Linked DNA regions of Caenorhabditis elegans. The protein of the gene in region 1 purifies or fractionates together with the protein of each later gene. This does not show direct contact. Each region holds a gene or a part of one and is shown in the gene's direction. Other genes may lie near its edges. The genes, in order: ahsa-1 and hsp-90.

Region 1 (3,916 bases):
AGAAAATGAGATTCCTTACACTGATCGCCACTCTTCTCGTGCTTTTCTCCACTGCCAACGCTTATTATGTAAGTTCCTATTGATTATCTGATTCCCATTTTTTTGTTTCAGCTCTACTATTACTACCCGAACAACGGTTACAACAACAATAACAATAACGGATACACGACTTATTACTACTACCCGAATAATAATAATAATAACAATAATGGTCAAACTTATTACTATTACGATAACAATGGATACAATAATGGTTGCTCCGGCTGCAGTAACAATAATGGATACACTTACTACTACCCGAGCAACAGCAATGGATACACTACTTATTACTTGACTTATGGAAAGAAGTGATTTGTCTGAATTTGAACAAATAAAGAAATTTTAAAATTACTCGTTTTTATTATATTACACTGGCAACTAGAGCTATATTTAAAAATGTACATAAAAAGTTTTACAACATTTAGAATTTAGAATTTAATTCTGAACTCTCTCCACGAGCTGAATAATATTCAATGCCTGCAGCAGAAGTGGTCGATCGATCATTTGTCCTCTAAACTGGAAAGCTCCTTTTCCTAATGCCTCGTGCTCACTGTAAGCGTGGACCAGCTCCTGAGCCCATTCGATTCGATCCTTCGGAGGCAGAAATTGCTCCTGGACCACAGACACTTGACTTGGATGAATGACTTGTTTTCCAGTGAAACCCCACTGCCACCCTTCTGCAGACTGACGACGGAGACCGTCAAGATCCTTGATATCTATGTAGACACTGTCGATTGCTTGAAGTTGGAATGCTTTACAGCAAGTCACAAATTTCTGTCGAGCGAATAGGGTTTCAGTGCCGTGAGAGCTTCGTGTAGCTCCGATATCTGCACAGAAATCGTCTGATCCAAAGACAACTGCATCTAGCTTGAAGAATCCGGCTTGTTTATGAAGATTTAGAGTTGATGAGACTATTCGTGGCATATCCAGAAGAGCTCGTGCAGATTCGATCCAGATAACAAGCCGAGTGTTCGTGTTTGTGATCCGTTCATCTCCGTAGTGTTCACGGAAGATGTTGTAGATGGTGACAAGGTCTTCAGGGCAGTCTACTTTCGGAATCATAAATGCTTGTGGCAACTTTTCAGCTTTCGATACTGCCTGAAATTAAAAAATTCGTGAGGATAAAGTTTGAAAAATTCAAAAATAAATCTTACAATGATATCATCTTCGAGAAGACCACTGCTTACAGAATTGACACGTAGACCAAGCTCCTGGCATGCCAATGTGTGATATGGCAGTTTATCAAGAGCCGCCGCAGCCTGAAAACTCAAATTGTAGACAAATTTCCAATTACTTTTCACGTACTCGAACTCTAGCATCAGCTTTAGCCGTCAGAGCAACGCCATCTTCTAGCTCCAAAACTACTGAATCCGCTTGCATCATTGGAACTTTATCCAGCATTTTTTGATTGCTGGCTGGAACGTATAGAAGTGCACGTCTTGGAACATACTTTGCTGCGTCCCGAACTCCGGCAAACTGTGAGATGTGCCTAATTATCGTTTTAGGAAGCATTTTTCTGAAATTGAAAAAATTAATTTATTTTAAAAAAATGTGTAACGTAAAATCTGAAAAAAAAAAACAAAAATAAATAACCAATTACGTGCGTAAATCCACACAAAAATTGCAATGCAAGCTCGCCCTATTGATAAGCGGTCGTGGCCTGCTGGCCTAGTTTCTTCCATTTTTCATGAATTTTCTCGAAATTAATTGAGTTTCTCCTGTTTTCAACGAAATTTCAAAGATTTCTTGTTTTGATTTCAACGTTAAATATTTATTTTCAAGTTTTAAATTGAAATTCCATTGTTTTAAGTACAAAACGACTTAATCTGGCTTGATGTTCACCTTAAAAATCTCGATAAACTGACTTAAATTAATTTCAGGGAATTTAAATGGCCAAGTGGGGAGAAGGAGATCCACGCTGGATTGTTGAAGAACGAGCCGATGCAACAAACGTAAACAATTGGCATTGGTGGGTCTCGATTGAAGTCATAGCTTTGAGCTGAATAAGTATGTTTTAGGTCGGAGAAGAATGCAACCCCGTGGTCTTTGAACCGACTCCGTGAACTTCTCACCGGATTTTCGTCCGAGGTATAATTAATAGTTGAACAAGATCGTATTAAGAGTATTCGTTTTCAGGATGGCCCAATTGTCGTGACAATCGATGAGATCAAAAAGATCGACGGAGAAGCAACGGCAAACAACCGGAAGGCTAAGCTCATCTTCCTTTTTGAATGGGTTATCGAAGGAACATTCATTGCTCGTGTTTCTGGCAGTGAAGACGAATATAAAGGAACTTTCGATATCCCAAACTTGAGTGATGAGAACGATGCATCCGAAGTGGATGTGAATTCGTCATTGAGTGGAAATGGCCCAATGGCTCATCAAATCCGCCAAGTTCTTAACAAATCGTTCATTGCAAAGATTCAAGATGTTATGGGAATCTATATCCGTGAATTGAAGGAAGAATTCAGCAAGGGTCTCATTCTGCCAACTGATAAAGTGAAGCCACAAGTCGTTACTACTGGAAAGACTTCAGTCGTTGACAAACGTCAGTTCCAAAACACTGTTGTCGCGGAAAAGGACGCTTCCACTTCTGGAAATGAAGTGTTCTCCACCAAAGAGGTTTCAACTTCCGATACCTACAAGGCCACACCGGATAGAGTTTTCGAGGCGCTCACAGAGACTCAATTCGTTCGTGGATGGACAAACAATTCGATCGGAGAGTGGAATTTCAAGGAAGGAGGATCATTTGCATTGTTCGGGGAAAACGTGACTGGAACATTCGAGAAGATTGAGCCGAACAAGGAGATTGTGAAGAAATGGCGACTGAAAAAGTATCCAAACAATCATCATGCAACCATCCATTTCCAGTTGAAAGATACTGTAAGTTTTAGAACAAACGAGGATAAACCTTCTATTATAATAAATTCTAGGGATCTGGAACGGATATCAAAATCATCGCTAAAGATGTTCCAACTCATCTCGCTGAAGAAACTCAACAAGGACTCGATCGTTACTACCTTTCAAGCATTGGTCGTACTTTCGGATTCAGCCAGCGAATGTGAAAAAATGAAAAATTGCAAATCTCCTGTTTTTGATGTTCTCCGATCTTCTAAACCGCTTTCTCAATTTATTTATTTTATATCAATCTGTGTTTGTGTTCTAAATTTAGTGATAATATTTTCATAAATTCAACAGATTCTGTTCAAAAACAAACAAAATTATTTAGGAATCTGCTGCTCGAGCATTTCAGGCGGCCAGTTTCCGAAATCCGTCAAAATTTTCGTGATGAGATGCGCCGGCGTGACATCAAATGCTGGATTCCAAACCGGACATTCAGAATTTCCGATTAAAACTCCATTTACTCGAAGCATCTCTGCAGATGGTCGTTCTTCAATTTTAATCTCCTCCCCGGTTGCAATATTCTTATTGATCGTCGTGAATGGAACAACCGGATAGAAGTTGATGTTGTGATGTTTGCAGAGGACAGCAAGCATATAGGTTCCGATTTTGTTAGCCGTATCGCCGTTTCTTGCAACATTATCGGCTCCGGTGAGCACACAATCCACCTGGTGATTCTTCATTGCCCATGCTGCCATTGAATCAGTGATCAGCTAGAAAATCTGGATTTTTAAAAGATAATCAGTATTTAGCATTACCTTGAACGGCACCTCACCATGAAGAAGCTCTATGGAAGTCAACCTAATTCCTTGATTATAGGGTCTCGTCTCCAAAACGTAAACCAATTTCAGACGGTTTTCAGAATGAAGAGCCCGAATGACTCCGAGAGCAGTACCCCAGGATATTGTAGCCAAGCTTCCTGTGTTGCAGATCGTCATTACCGTAAGCTTCTCCTTGTCAGGGAATGCCGAGAGAA
Region 2 (5,156 bases), 400 kb from region 1:
TGAAAAAAAAAAACAATTAAAAAATATTTTAGAGGGGAAGTAAAGTTTGTGGGTTTTTGCCCGAAACGGTCGAATTTCATAAATTGCCTTCTCAAAAAATTTCCAAAAAAATAAATACATAGAACACTTTTTTTTTATTTTCTGAAGTTCATTATTACCTCAATGGCTCTTCCTAGACATTGCGAAATCGTGTTTCCTTTCTTGATTTTCATATTTTTCCGATGTGAAGATCCATCCCAATAGGCGTAGGCAACTGTAATTTCCTCGTTTTTCTCGGCATCTTGCTTCACACGCCACTCGGCTGCCAATGATTCTTTCTTTCTGAAACCAGACTTATTATTTTTTATTTATTTGTTCACCGGGATGATCTACACCCGCCAAAATTTGAAATGTCGTTGTTTTTTCTTCTAGAACTCACTTTCTCAAGAACTCCTCTCGTTCTTTATCAGGCAGGAAGCTTGTGTCGACAGTTGGGTCCATTCCAACGCGCTGCAAACATTTTTCGCTTTAATTTTTTCTTTTTAATTATTATTCTTACCTTTTTCGGGATAATTGGTGCAGCATCTTCTTCGTCCTCTTCGTCATCAAATGCAAACGATAAAAATCGCTTCTGAAATTAGCAATATTAAAACAGTTTTTCTCGAATGTTCTACAAAAATGTTTTATATCTGCGTTTCCTCACACTCTCACCTGCCCTCAATTTTTCTTTCTCGAAAGTTCTCAAATTTTTAGAAATCTGGTATAAAAGACTCTTTCGACGAGAAATCTCTAGTCAATTGAACTACAACTGCTACCCGAGTCTAGAGCCTACAACCAAATTTCTACAGCAATCCTTCACATTTACCTGGGTATGTTTTGCAACGTGTTCTTCTTTTTCTCGAGCTTCTTGTGAATCTTTAGATTGAGTAGAAGATGATTGGTCTCCCCGGGCCACTTGTAGATCTCTATAAGGTACACATTTTTATTGTGAGGCTCTCCAAAATGTAGAAAATCGAACCTGTTTGAAATTTCGTTTTTCTGAATATTTTTCATATCATCCAATGATACCAAGCCATAGGTTTTAGACTTCACGACTTCTTCGACTGTTTCATAGTTTGCCATGAATTTATTCGTAATTCCGACCCTGCCTGCAAAATTTGTAGTTTTAATAATTAAAAAGGGGTTTCACCATACATTTTTCTTTGTCTTCTTCAAGCTTTCGCAATTGTTGTTCGATATCTTCCTTTTCACGCTCACGTTTCTTTGCCAAATGAATCAAGCGGCCTTCGTCGGCGCGGGACATTTTATTAACTGCAAAAATAAAATAAAAACCAATGAAAGCAATATTTTTCAACGAGTTCAATATTGAGAGTGACATATAGTTTATTTCGGGATTTTATTTAATATAGAATAATAATTTTAGATTTTTTTTTGGTGCAAAAATACCAAAAAAACGTCTTTTCGACGAAGTAATCTGAAAAAAATGAAGAAAAAACAATTCAAACTAAAAACAAGAAAATGTTTGTGGCCTAGTTACCTATTCTGCAAAACTTCGGCCAGGTGCTGAAAACGCGCTCTATTGACAATTTTCGTCGAGAATTTTCCGCCGAAAAGGGCAATTTGAAAACCAACCAATCAAATTGAAAGGCCACGCCCTCCTTCGAGAACATTTCGCATCTTGTTCAAAATTTAGACCTTCAATTACGCCTCAGAGCTCTGATATTCCCAGTTCTTTCGGTTTTCGGGTGAAGATTTTTGGTTTTCCTCTCACTAATATGGCTTTTATGTTAATCACGGATCATTGTTTTTGATTTTTAAAGGTTTTTGAACAATAGTTTTAGGCCTAAAATTAGTTCATTTCTAGATAAGGTTATAATGTGTTTTTAGTTTCGAAATCATTCGCCATGCGTGCTCTTTCATTCATTGAATCGTTATAAAGTTCTATTCAGTTTTTGTTGCTCGATTGTTAATTGATATTTTTCCAGAACCATGTCCGAGAACGCCGAAACCTTCGCATTCCAGGCTGAGATTGCTCAGTTGATGAGCTTGATCATCAACACTTTCTACAGTAACAAGGAAATCTACTTGCGTGAATTGATCTCAAACGCCTCCGATGCTCTTGACAAGATTCGCTACCAGGTTTGTTTTTTCGCTTCTGAGTCAATTTTTTAAAATATCGGTTTTAGGCACTCACCGAGCCATCCGAGCTTGACACTGGAAAGGAATTGTTCATCAAAATTACTCCAAACAAGGAGGAAAAGACCCTTACCATTATGGATACCGGAATCGGAATGACCAAGGCCGATCTTGTCAACAACCTTGGAACCATTGCCAAGTCTGGAACCAAGGCCTTCATGGAGGCTCTTCAAGCTGGAGCTGATATTTCCATGATTGGTCAGTTCGGAGTCGGATTCTACTCTGCTTTCCTTGTCGCCGATAAGGTTGTCGTCACATCCAAGAACAACGATGATGACAGCTATCAATGGGAGTCTTCCGCAGGAGGTTCTTTCGTCGTTCGTCCATTCAATGACCCAGAGGTCACCCGTGGAACGAAGATTGTCATGCACATCAAGGAGGATCAGATTGACTTCCTCGAGGAGCGCAAGATCAAGGAGATCGTTAAGAAGCATTCTCAGTTCATCGGATACCCAATCAAGCTTGTGGTTGAGAAGGAGCGTGAGAAGGAGGTTGAAGATGAGGAGGCTGTCGAGGCTAAGGATGAGGAGAAGAAGGAGGGAGAGGTCGAGAACGTCGCTGACGACGCTGACAAGAAGAAGACCAAGAAAATCAAGGAGAAGTACTTCGAAGACGAAGAGCTTAACAAGACCAAGCCAATCTGGACCAGAAACCCAGACGATATCTCCAACGAAGAATATGCTGAGTTCTACAAGGTATTTTTAGTTTTAATTATTTTATGGCAATAATTCCATTAATTTCAGAGCTTGTCCAATGACTGGGAAGATCATCTTGCCGTCAAGCATTTCTCCGTTGAGGGACAACTTGAATTCCGTGCTCTTCTCTTCGTCCCACAAAGAGCTCCATTTGATCTCTTCGAGAACAAGAAGAGCAAGAACTCCATCAAGCTCTACGTTCGTCGTGTCTTCATCATGGAGAACTGCGAAGAGCTCATGCCAGAATACCTTAACTTCATCAAGGGAGTCGTCGATTCTGAGGATCTTCCACTTAACATCTCTCGTGAAATGCTCCAGCAATCCAAGATCTTGAAGGTCATCCGTAAGAATCTTGTCAAGAAGTGCATGGAGCTTATCGACGAGGTTGCCGAGGACAAAGACAACTTCAAGAAGTTCTACGAGCAATTCGGAAAGAATCTCAAGCTCGGAATCCACGAGGACTCTACTAACCGCAAGAAGCTTTCCGATTTCCTTCGCTACTCTACCTCCGCTGGAGATGAGCCAACTTCCCTCAAGGAATACGTTTCCCGCATGAAGGAGAACCAAACTCAAATCTACTACATCACCGGAGAGTCCAAGGATGTTGTTGCTGCTTCAGCTTTCGTCGAGCGTGTTAAGAGCCGCGGATTCGAAGTCCTCTACATGTGCGACCCAATTGATGAGTACTGCGTCCAACAACTCAAGGAGTATGATGGAAAGAAGCTTGTCTCCGTCACCAAGGAAGGACTCGAGCTCCCAGAAACCGAGGAGGAGAAGAAGAAGTTCGAAGAGGACAAGGTTGCCTACGAAAACCTTTGCAAGGTCATCAAGGACATTTTGGAGAAGAAGGTTGAGAAGGTTGGAGTTTCTAACCGTCTTGTCTCTTCCCCATGCTGCATTGTCACTTCCGAGTACGGATGGTCCGCTAACATGGAGCGCATCATGAAAGCTCAAGCTCTTCGTGATTCCTCTACTATGGGATACATGGCCGCCAAGAAGCATCTCGAAATCAACCCAGACCACGCTATCATGAAGTAAGTTACCCAAAAACTATTTTAAAATGAACATTCACAAACGTTTTTGCTATTTCAGGACACTTCGTGATCGTGTCGAGGTCGATAAGAATGACAAGACCGTTAAGGATTTGGTTGTTCTTCTTTTCGAGACTGCTCTTCTCGCTTCCGGATTCTCCCTTGAGGAGCCACAATCTCACGCTTCCCGCATCTACAGAATGATCAAGCTTGGTCTCGATATCGGAGATGACGAAATTGAAGATTCTGCTGTTCCATCATCGTGCACCGCTGAGGCCAAGATTGAGGGAGCTGAGGAGGATGCTTCCCGCATGGAGGAGGTCGACTAAACATCCTATTTAATTTATCATTTGTTACGAGAAGATCTCCCCAAAAGCCCCTCCACAGTTTTATTCATTGTTTTCCTGTCTATCGAACCCAAATAAAGTTCCGTAATTAATTTCATCAATGTTTTTTTTTGCAAACGTGAACTTTTGAAGAAGCACATTTGAACAGTTTAGATACTCGAGGGAAATTAAACAGTTTTAGTTTATACGAAACATGATTGCAATCTTATTCGAGTTGGCATGTTTCCTGATCTTGGCCAGTGCTGTTTGCTGCATCATTCCAGAACCGGTTTATACATGAGTTGGAGATGAGTTTAATATCTTTTCATGTTTCAGGAAAAGCCATTCAATCCACCTCCACGTCCAAATTTCAATTATAACCTCTGGGATCCTGTCAATGAAGATTTCGAAGGACGCAAGTTGGATGTTCGTTGGTGGAATCCGGAAGAAGAAGATGAAGATGAAATTGTTCCAATCCCACCAAACCTTGCTGTCTAATCTCTCATTTTATTTCTAAAAATAAAAATTTTTCGATAATCGTTTTATGAACATATGCTTATTCTCTTGAAAAATCCGCTTTCCGCGCACGCAAATCTGTTGATGCGTGCTCAAATTGACATCCGTTACCATGCCAACTCTTTCCAACTGCCCTTGAGAAATTGAAAGCAGCTTTACTGAGCTCTTTCTGTGTTCCGGGCTCTCTTTGCAGTCTGTGCTCACTCCTATTAATTATGAAAACGGCAGGGACTTCGCGTGATACGTCTTCTAATATTCAAAACAAGCGAGTTATGAAGAAACCCAAAGCTATCAGGGTATGTATTAAAAGGGATATTCGAAATAAATGTTTTTTTTTCGTTTTTAGGCTTGCAATTTGTTTTCTCTACAGTACTTCAATTTAAAGGCGCATGTAGTTTTTTCTGCTGCTTAAT

What was found.
Region 2: the proteins of ahsa-1 (region 1) and hsp-90 fractionate together in Caenorhabditis elegans (co-fractionation; 3 studies listed by BioGRID, with this or other methods). This does not show direct contact.

What each region holds. Positions count from the first base shown.
Region 1 is NC_003283.11:15,083,386-15,087,301, reverse strand, and holds ahsa-1 (Activator of Hsp90 ATPase AHSA1-like N-terminal domain-containing protein), read left to right. Parts: upstream 1-1,919; 5' UTR 1,920-1,928; coding exon 1,929-2,008; intron 2,009-2,057; coding exon 2,058-2,127; intron 2,128-2,175; coding exon 2,176-2,922; intron 2,923-2,972; coding exon 2,973-3,104; 3' UTR 3,105-3,243; downstream 3,244-3,916. Other genes in the region: C01G10.15 (FIP (Fungus-Induced Protein) Related), read left to right, coding at 6-68, 112-351; C01G10.7 (Citramalyl-CoA lyase, mitochondrial), read right to left, coding at 475-1,137, 1,194-1,298, 1,345-1,551; C01G10.9 (Methylthioribose-1-phosphate isomerase), read right to left, coding at 3,261-3,653, 3,699-3,916.
Region 2 is NC_003283.11:14,684,196-14,689,351, forward strand, and holds hsp-90 (Heat shock protein 90), read left to right. Parts: upstream 1-1,964; 5' UTR 1,965-1,968; coding exon 1,969-2,118; intron 2,119-2,165; coding exon 2,166-2,870; intron 2,871-2,918; coding exon 2,919-3,904; intron 3,905-3,962; coding exon 3,963-4,230; 3' UTR 4,231-4,344; downstream 4,345-5,156. Other genes in the region: C47E8.4 (Protein FAM50 homolog), read right to left, coding at 159-321, 419-489, 539-610, 845-944, 998-1,127, 1,174-1,282; C47E8.11 (uncharacterized protein), read left to right, coding at 4,442-4,516, 4,564-4,725; gasr-8 (uncharacterized protein), read left to right, coding at 4,959-5,039. UniProt on the Caenorhabditis elegans protein: Molecular chaperone that promotes the maturation, structural maintenance and proper regulation of specific target proteins involved for instance in cell cycle control and signal transduction. Undergoes a functional cycle that is linked to its ATPase activity.